Linked DNA regions of Oryzias latipes. The protein of the gene in region 2 interacts with the protein of the main gene of each other region in a biochemical or structural test. Links are inferred from orthologs where the notes say so. Each region holds a gene or a part of one and is shown on either strand. Other genes may lie near its edges. The genes, in order: slbp and dcaf11.

Region 1 (4,560 bases), on a different chromosome or scaffold from region 2:
CAGATGACGGGTATCAGCAGTCCAATCAGCATGCAGTAGCAGAGGCAAAAAGTCTTCCCGGGAGAAGTTCAGGAGTGTCATGGAGACCCACTGTCAGTTTGAAGGAGATTCAGGAGCGCTTCCCTGCTAATACTGTCTACAGTATAGGTGGAGAACTGTTTACATGGGTTGTTGTGATCTAACAATATGTATGAAAAGTGCTGAATAAATAATTAAAAAAATGGTTACAAGAGGTCCATGAACCCTGCTCCTGCACAGCTGCAGGTCCTACAGCTGGTTTGAGAGCAACAGAGATCAAGGAAGACAGAAAAACAAGCAGAATAAGCTACCGGTACATCAACCACAGAAGCAAATTTTTAGGACAGGTACTTTTAGGACATATTGTGTTTCAAAATGTACTTTGTATTAAATTCCATTACAATACTGAATCTATGAAATATCTTTTTAACAATTAGAATACTTCCTTTAATTATGGAAAAAACACTTTCAACAGAATAATATGAAAGTGGTACAATGAATTCCAAAAAACATATGGTTGTGATATTATAATCCCAAATAGATGCAAAGAGCTTTTGAAATGGTCAATTTGTCTTGAGCCAAAACATTATATTTCAATTTTAAAAATAGATGTAACCCTGCAACGCTGAAATCAAAGGTTAGTTTTACGTTGAAGCCTGGAGTTTTAATGCTGTTCAGGGTCATTTAGTTGCTGGAGCCAACCCAGGTACTCTTGGGCAAAGGTGGGGTAGACAGTTTGACAGTCCATTACAGGGCCACACAGAAACACACACACTCACATTCCCACCGAATAGATAATTTACCAATTAACCTGTGTTGCATGTTTATGGACTGTGGTCGGAAGCAAGAATCCCTTGAGAAAAACCACAGATGTTTGGGATAAACATGCAAACTCTAAACAAAAAGAACCCATCAAGGATTCCAACACATAAAAAGGACATTGCTAACCACTACACCACTGTGCAGCTTTGCTCGGCTTAATTCAATTGCAATACATTTTGAACAGATTGATGGTTTTTCTCACCATTTTGACAACCCCTAATTTTAATTCATTACTGTTTAAAATAAACGTAGGCAAACAATGTTAGAAGATGTCACTTATAGATTAAATGTTCCCTCGATAAAAGCTCCTCTTTTATAGAGTCGACCCTATTAACTGTAGACATTAGACTGAACAACACAGACACATTTAATGAAAGAGTTACATGTTTGATTTTTCCTTTAAAGTTAGTAAAAGAATAAGCATCGCAGTTGTTTTTATTTGTCTCTCAATTTCTGATTGTGCTCAATTACATATTTTAAATGTGTGAAAATAAAAAAACAGCTCAAAGCTGTCAGATCCATGTCATATGAGTTTTGATTTAAAAAATCTTGTTAATTAGAAGACCCTTTATGACGTAATAGCTTTTGCCGTTATTGTGGGTGGAGTCAAGGTTTTTTATTTTTATGATTAAATGTATTTACTTGTATTTCAAACTATATTCTTTTTCATACAAAAATAAAAAAAACAAGTCTGAACATTTTTAAATTGAAGGGTTCGATGGTCACGTGGTTCCCAGCGGAGTGTTTGGCGCGGTGCCTACGGAAGTGACGTAGCACTCGTCTTTGTGTTTGGCGCGCCGCGGGTTTTTGTTTTCTGTGCTTGGCGCAACTCGGGTTTTGGTGTCAAACGAGCAGTTTTCCCGCAGAACCGGATCATGTCTACCAGAACCCCTGACCGGCGGACCGACGCCACCAGCAGCCGCCGCGAACACACCCGGAGGTGAGGAGTTCCGATCCAGCTTGGTGAATTCGGAGAAGGCTGTTCCGTTCGGACTGAACGCCGGGACCGGCGGACAGCAGACCGAACTACCGAGAGAGGGAACTCCAGTCCTGCTCCTGACTCTAAACACATAGGTTTTTAGTCGGTTCTTGGCGGGTTTCCAGAACCTCAGAGGTCTTGAGAGTCCTCGACCACAAAAAACTGTTTTGACCGAACGAGCAGGTTTAGCTGTTTATTAACAGAACCGGGACGGATCATTATATACGTCGGTGTTCATTCTTTAAACCGGGTTTAGTGGAGACGGAAATGTAAATATCCGAGCTTTAACGTGTCGTGTGTGGTTCTGTGGATCCTCTTCTGTTGGATCGTGTTCTGTTTGGGAACAGTCCTCCGGAAAACCTCGCACTGTTTCTTGGTTCCGCTGCGCGGGGCAAATGCGCGCCAAAGCCGCACCTTTAGTGCAGATCCTACTTCATATAATGCAGTAAAGGCATTTCCACCTGCTGCTGTGAGGCGTTTAGACAGGAACATTGTGTTTTTAACATGTTCGTCTGACTGATGATGGAGGACACACCGAGAGAAAATTAGCTTTAAAAAACTTTTTGGAGTTTTTCTTTATTAAAGTTTTAGTTAATCAAGAGTAAAAAGATCATTTTTGTGACGTTGAAAAGACGTCACAAAAAATACAAGATCCCTGCTCCTCTCCATTCTTATTCATCATCTGTCAGACAAACAGATCCATGTTTGTCTTTGTTTTCTCGTCTGAGCTGGAATCTGGATCCAAACTGGACGTCTGGATAGATCCGATATCGCTGGCTATTTTTGTTGCATTGATAATGTTAAGTTGGAGCTGTAAGCAAGCAAACAAAGGCATGATGGGTAAAAAGGGCATGTCCTCTCACCGCCAACAGCCACAACTCAGAGGAGAATTCCTGCCGCTCTGCAGAAACTATGTCCTAGGTCAGGGGTGTCCAACTCATTTTTTACTGAGGTCCACATCAGCATAGCTGCAGTCCTCAAAGGGCCAGATAAACCTGAAAAATAAATGTAACTACTACTTAATGTTAAATTACTCATTTATTTATTCTAACTTTTTAAAGTGACAATTCCAGTTGCATAGAAAACATATATTTGTTGTTATTCTAGCATAAATCCTTTTACATTTGATTCTGTCAGGTTAAGTTATATGGACAGTGTTTAAGTCCTACTGTTTAGTTGCCCAATCCCATATTTCAAGTCTGATTCTCCCTAGATATGAATAAATACACACCAATTTTTATTTTTTATTTGAGAAATTAAAAACTTTTATGCTCTTGCGGGCCACAGAAAATGACATGGGGGGCCACGTTTGACCCGCGGGCCTTGAGTTTGACACGTGTCTTAGAAAGTGACATAGGTTGTTAGATTATGACTAAAAACGCCTTGATCCTAATTCAAAGACCACTGGGAACACTTTTACAATAGATCAGAAGAGACAACAAGCTCTGTTAGAAACCCAAACCCTCTGGTTTACGGCAACAGTTTTAAAGCCATGCACACGGCATGTCTGCACTCATAATGAAGACCCCCCCCCTCTTCTTTACTGTCCAGCAGCGGTCCGTCCCGGTGGTCCCACTGCAGGAAGAGAGGCGTAGACGGGAGCATGCGCACAGACGAGCATGAGCGCACAGACGAGCATGAGCGCACAGAAGGGAGACATTCCAGGTAACGTTCCAGGTATATTATTATGATGATGATGTGGTCCATTTACATTACTGAGGCCAAGTGCTCCATCTACAGCCAGACAGCCACAACCACTGTCCTGTGTTTCAACCAGTTACTGTAAATGAGAACGGAACCGACAGACTCCTCCCCCTGGCATTCCAAACAGGAAGTACCCGCTGGTTCCAAAAAGCTAAAATGCCATAAACTTCCATAGAGAAATAAACAGCTGTTACTCAGTCATTTTATTTGTCCAAATAACTTTTTTTGCTCTGACACCTTTCATTAACATGCCCTCGATAACTCGTTTTTTTATATTTTATCTTTAGTGCAATTTATCCAAAATATAAACTGACCAATCAGAGCATTTGATTGACAGATTTTGTGCAGCCGGTGGTTCTGCTGGTGGAAAAACTGAGAACTTAAAGCAACAGTATTTAGGTAACAGTAAAAAAGCTTTTTCAATCCATTTATCTTCACTTTTGAACCAATCACATTCAAGCTCACTCCTGATTGGCGAGAGCGGTTGCCGTAGAAACATTGACTCAGACAGACTCGATTCCAAAATGGTGGCGTCCGTGTTGCAAAGAAATGGCGACTGAATTGCCTTCATATGGTTGGAGCCAGACGTGAACCATCTTCTACGGTTGACGTCACACTCACTCAGTCACTCAGTCCAGTTGTCATTACAGTCAGTGGTTTCAGCGGTAATAGACGGCGGTTTGGACCCCTGCAAATATACTCCCAGATGTGGGGCTGAACCCGTTTGTCTTTGTCCCCCCCAGTTTTACCACCCCAGAGAGTTCAGGTCCCGTGTCCCGCTGCGCCGCGTCATCTGACTGGGGAAGTCAGGTGGAGGACAACGAGATGAGGAGAGACCTTCACAGAGACCTGCAGCGGTAAATGTCCTGTGAGCTGATTGGCCGTGAGGGTGCATGAGACCTGAGCGTGGGCTTTGTCTAGGTACAGGAGGAGGATCTTGGCTGCAGACGGCCCCCACAGGGAGAGGAAGGCGTCCTCTGGATCATCTGGGAGGTTTGTGTTTGAGCATAATCTTCTCTACACACAGGACATGTGAC
Region 2 (3,818 bases):
TGTGGTTGTGAGTCACTGACTGTGCTTTTACTGCATCATCAGATTTTGTGTGTTTGTGCTTTGTAGTCCAGATGAGAGGAGGTTCTGTGTGTTCTCACTGACAGCGTCAACAGATGGCAAAGAGATTCTGGGCGGGTGAGTAGCATTTGCTTTTATGATTGACAAGGACCGAAGGCTTCCAACGCTTTCTGTTCGCACAAGTCAAACAGGTTATTTAATAGAAACGCTGAACATTTTTAACGCCAATGTTTTCATTCTGGATTTGTTTCCTTCCTTTTTCCAGAGCAAATGATGGCTGCCTTTACGTTTTTGATCTGGAACAGAACAGACGGACGCTGAAGGTTGGATTCTTGTGCATAGTTTCCCATCTTTTTTCTTCAAAAATCAGTGTGTTTTGGCCCCGTAGTACTTCCTACTTTTCAATACAACTCGAGAAAATTCACATTTGTTGAGCTCATAGAGACGAGGTCTACAACCTTTTTCAGGCCACGATTACTTACATGTCAGACAATATTTTCATGGCCTGTCTTTAATTTAGCTCCCAGTTTCTCTAAACTTTCGAGGTAAAGTTTGTCTTCATCCTCTGGGAAATATCTGCATTTGTTTTAAACTTTAATTGAACACTAGATTTCAAGTAGGAACTTTTCAAATGTGATACAGATTACTGACAAAATGGAAGCAAAAAAAAAAACCCAACAGTGTCAGTTTTACTAAAAATAATAATAAACATGAACCCACTGTTCCTCATGACTTCAGACAGTTGGTTGCTGAATATTATTAATTATTATTATTATAGTGTGTGGGAACAACTATCCATATTTGGAGCAAAGACTCTTCGTTTTTAACGTTAAATGCAGATTTCTTCTGTTTCTTCACTGGCTCCTTTCTGTAAAAAGAACACGTTCGATTCTTTTTTACATTGCCATCTTGGGGATTTCAATCTAGCGGTCCACACAGCCGATTTAAGAAAGTAGTGAATGTATTTTCGAAACATGACCTAGCGACTTAACCTGGGTCAAGAATGAGTCTGATGTAGTGGGGCATCCAGTCGTTTTCCCAAATAAAACTGCATAAAATGGGAAAAATGTAGGTCGTGGTTTTTTGTCCTCCGCTATGGAACGGTACCGGACGATTGTTTAAAAACTCACCCCTTGGATTAGAAATTTGCAGCCTTTTTTTTGTTGATTGGGTTAATCAAACAGAAAAACGTAGCCTTCGTTTGTCAAATGTAACAAATTAAAAAGGAAAAAAGGAGTGTGACGTACAGGATTATTGGAGCTGAAATCCGATGCGATAAAGGTATGTTGTCCTTAGATGAACCCTGGTCTCCATAATCCTCACAGAAGCTTCAATTATTGGGCTTAGTGGCACCTTTAGCTAAATTAGAAAGAGGACGCTGATGTGGAGTTTTGTTTAAAGCGTAGCATCAAAGGGAGCAGCCCCACCCTGCAGAGAGGCAGTCATGTTTAAACCCGCCTCTCCTCCTCCTCCTCCTCCCCCCTCAGCCACCCTCTGTGTACCAGTCAGCCATTGATCTCCACCATCTGCTTCATATTTGTCCTACTGTCTTTCAGACTCTCTCCCTCCCATTTTGCATGTGTGTTTGCGCATGTCTGACTAGACAAAGCAAGAAAGAAATTCATTACCACAGACCTCCCTGTGTTTTGCACCTGCCGCTCTTAGATTGACGCCCACGAAGACGACGTGAATGCGGTGGCGTTCGCCGACTCTTCGTCCCAGCTGCTCTTCTCTGGCAGCGACGACGCTCTGTGCAAGGTGTGGGACAGGAGGACGCTACGAGAAGACCGACCGCAGCCCGTCGGACAGCTGGCTGGCCATCGAGATGGCATCACCTTCATCCACAGCAAGGTATGCGTGTTTTGGTTTAATCCATCTGTGAGAAATTTCCTCTCACAAAGCGATCGGTTGAGGAGTGTGTATTTTTAGCCGAGCGCAATTCGTCTGGAATGTCGGTGTGAAAGTGCGCTTCGTTTTCTTTATTATTCTTTCCTCCCGGTTGTGCCAGGGGGATGCGCGCTATCTAATCAGCAACTCCAAGGACCAGTCCATCAAGCTGTGGGATGTCAGGAAGTTCTCACCCAAAGAGGGGCTGGCTGCCTCCCGCCTGGCCGTCACCCAGCAGAACTGGGATTACCGCTGGCAGCAGGTTCCCCAGAGAGGTGAGGAGGGAGACGGAGGGATTGGAGTTGAAGCAGAGGGATTGGAGTTGAAGCAGCCCTCCTGATGACATGGCTTTCAGGCTGCATATAACGTACCCATGCTTCTCGTTTGTTACTGTGGCTGCAAACACTAATTATGTTGTGTTTTTAGAGCATGCATGAGTCACAGCACAGTCACAGTCTATACACTAATTAGAGATATTTTAAAGGCTCACTCCAATGAAAATAACATTTTTAACATGTTCTGGTGGCATTTTTCTGATGGAGGACATATAATAAGAATAAGCTAAACTCTGCATTACTGAGTATTTCTTGTTTAAAATTGCTGTGAATGGGGAGCAGTTGAAAAAATGCAGCTGGAAAAAGCCTGTAGCTGTAATGTAGGTGCTACAATCAGTGGGCCAGACGTTCCTTTCTGATGCAATAAAATCTTTTGAACAAAATGCAAATTTTACCTACCAGTAGTAGGTAACTGTCCATGTGCAGTGACTGCTAGCAAGCGAGTGTCAGCTAGTTTCATGTGTTTTTAGCAGCTTGTTTTGGGGGTTTTCTCCTTCAAACATCTGCTTGAATTCTTCCACCTTTAAAGAGGGTCTTGTTCTTGCAGCCGGCACTACAAAAACTGAATCTTAAGAAAGTAAAAAGACCCTTTTTCAAGAAACATTGTCTTTTTTTTGTCTAACCTAGAATTTTATTCAACAGAAAAATGATCTTAGTGTGAGAAAACCTGTCTTAATGACTGGAATTGTTTTCTTAAATGTGTTTCCCCCCATCGTCCTTGAACATTGTCGTGTTTTTTGTATTTGCTTTTTCTCACAGCTCTAAAGAAGCACAAACTGACAGGTGACACTTCGGTGATGACGTACCGTGGACACGGCGTTCTCCACACCCTCATCCGCTGCCGCTTCTCTCCGGAGTTCAGCACCGGTCAGAGATACATTTACTCGGGCTGCTCCACCGGCAAAATCATCAGTAAGTCTCTAAATGTAAATACTGTACGTGTAGACCGGATGCTTTTATTTTGAAGAGTTGAAAGTGTTTGAACGCTGGTGTGTGTCCAGTTTATGACGTGCTGAGCGGAGCCGTGGTTTCCAGGCTGTTGGGTCATGACGCGTGCGTGCGGGACGTCAGCTGGCACCCGTATGAGGCCAGCATCATCAGCAGCTCTGTGAGTATCTTTTAAGAAATGGAATAGAATAAGCGTTCCTGTCATTGTCACATGTTACATGCACAACAAAATTCCAGAAAGTGTCATTTCAGTCGCATATTCAGAAAAAAGTAAACAACATAATAGAATGTCATAGTCCATTTAGGGCAAGTTAAAACACAACACAGAAGGAAAAAAAGTACAAATTACATTACATCGGGGCAGCACTGAGCTTCAGTGGCCCTTAATTCAGTCAAAAAATAAAAAAACGTTCAATTAAACTGGATTTTTTTCAGATCTTGTCTATAAGTATGAGGCTTCTGCAGGAAATCATCTCAAAAAACAAAAATTCCAGAAAGTAAAAAGGAAAAAATAAGGAATAAAAAGGAAAATAAATTTCATTTTAATAATAAAATATAAATTATGGGTTTTAAGCTTTTTAAACAGTTAGTAATATTATTTAAAAAGTGCTTTTCACAAATAGAATCACT

The links.
Region 1: the proteins of dcaf11 (region 2) and slbp form a complex in vitro, tested with the Homo sapiens proteins (2 studies listed by BioGRID, with this or other methods). The link is inferred for Oryzias latipes from reciprocal best matches to the Homo sapiens genes DCAF11 and SLBP.

Annotation. Positions count from the first base shown.
Region 1 is NC_019868.2:4,691,499-4,696,058, forward strand, and holds the start of slbp (histone RNA hairpin-binding protein), read left to right. Parts: upstream 1-1,592; 5' UTR 1,593-1,715; coding exon 1,716-1,780; intron 1,781-3,370; coding exon 3,371-3,484; intron 3,485-4,266; coding exon 4,267-4,380; intron 4,381-4,444; coding exon 4,445-4,516; intron 4,517-4,560. UniProt on the Homo sapiens protein: RNA-binding protein involved in the histone pre-mRNA processing.
Region 2 is NC_019878.2:12,376,422-12,380,239, forward strand, and holds part of dcaf11 (DDB1- and CUL4-associated factor 11), read left to right. Parts: intron 1-66; coding exon 67-135; intron 136-283; coding exon 284-341; intron 342-1,683; coding exon 1,684-1,869; intron 1,870-2,026; coding exon 2,027-2,180; intron 2,181-2,999; coding exon 3,000-3,152; intron 3,153-3,241; coding exon 3,242-3,348; intron 3,349-3,818. UniProt on the Homo sapiens protein: May function as a substrate receptor for CUL4-DDB1 E3 ubiquitin-protein ligase complex.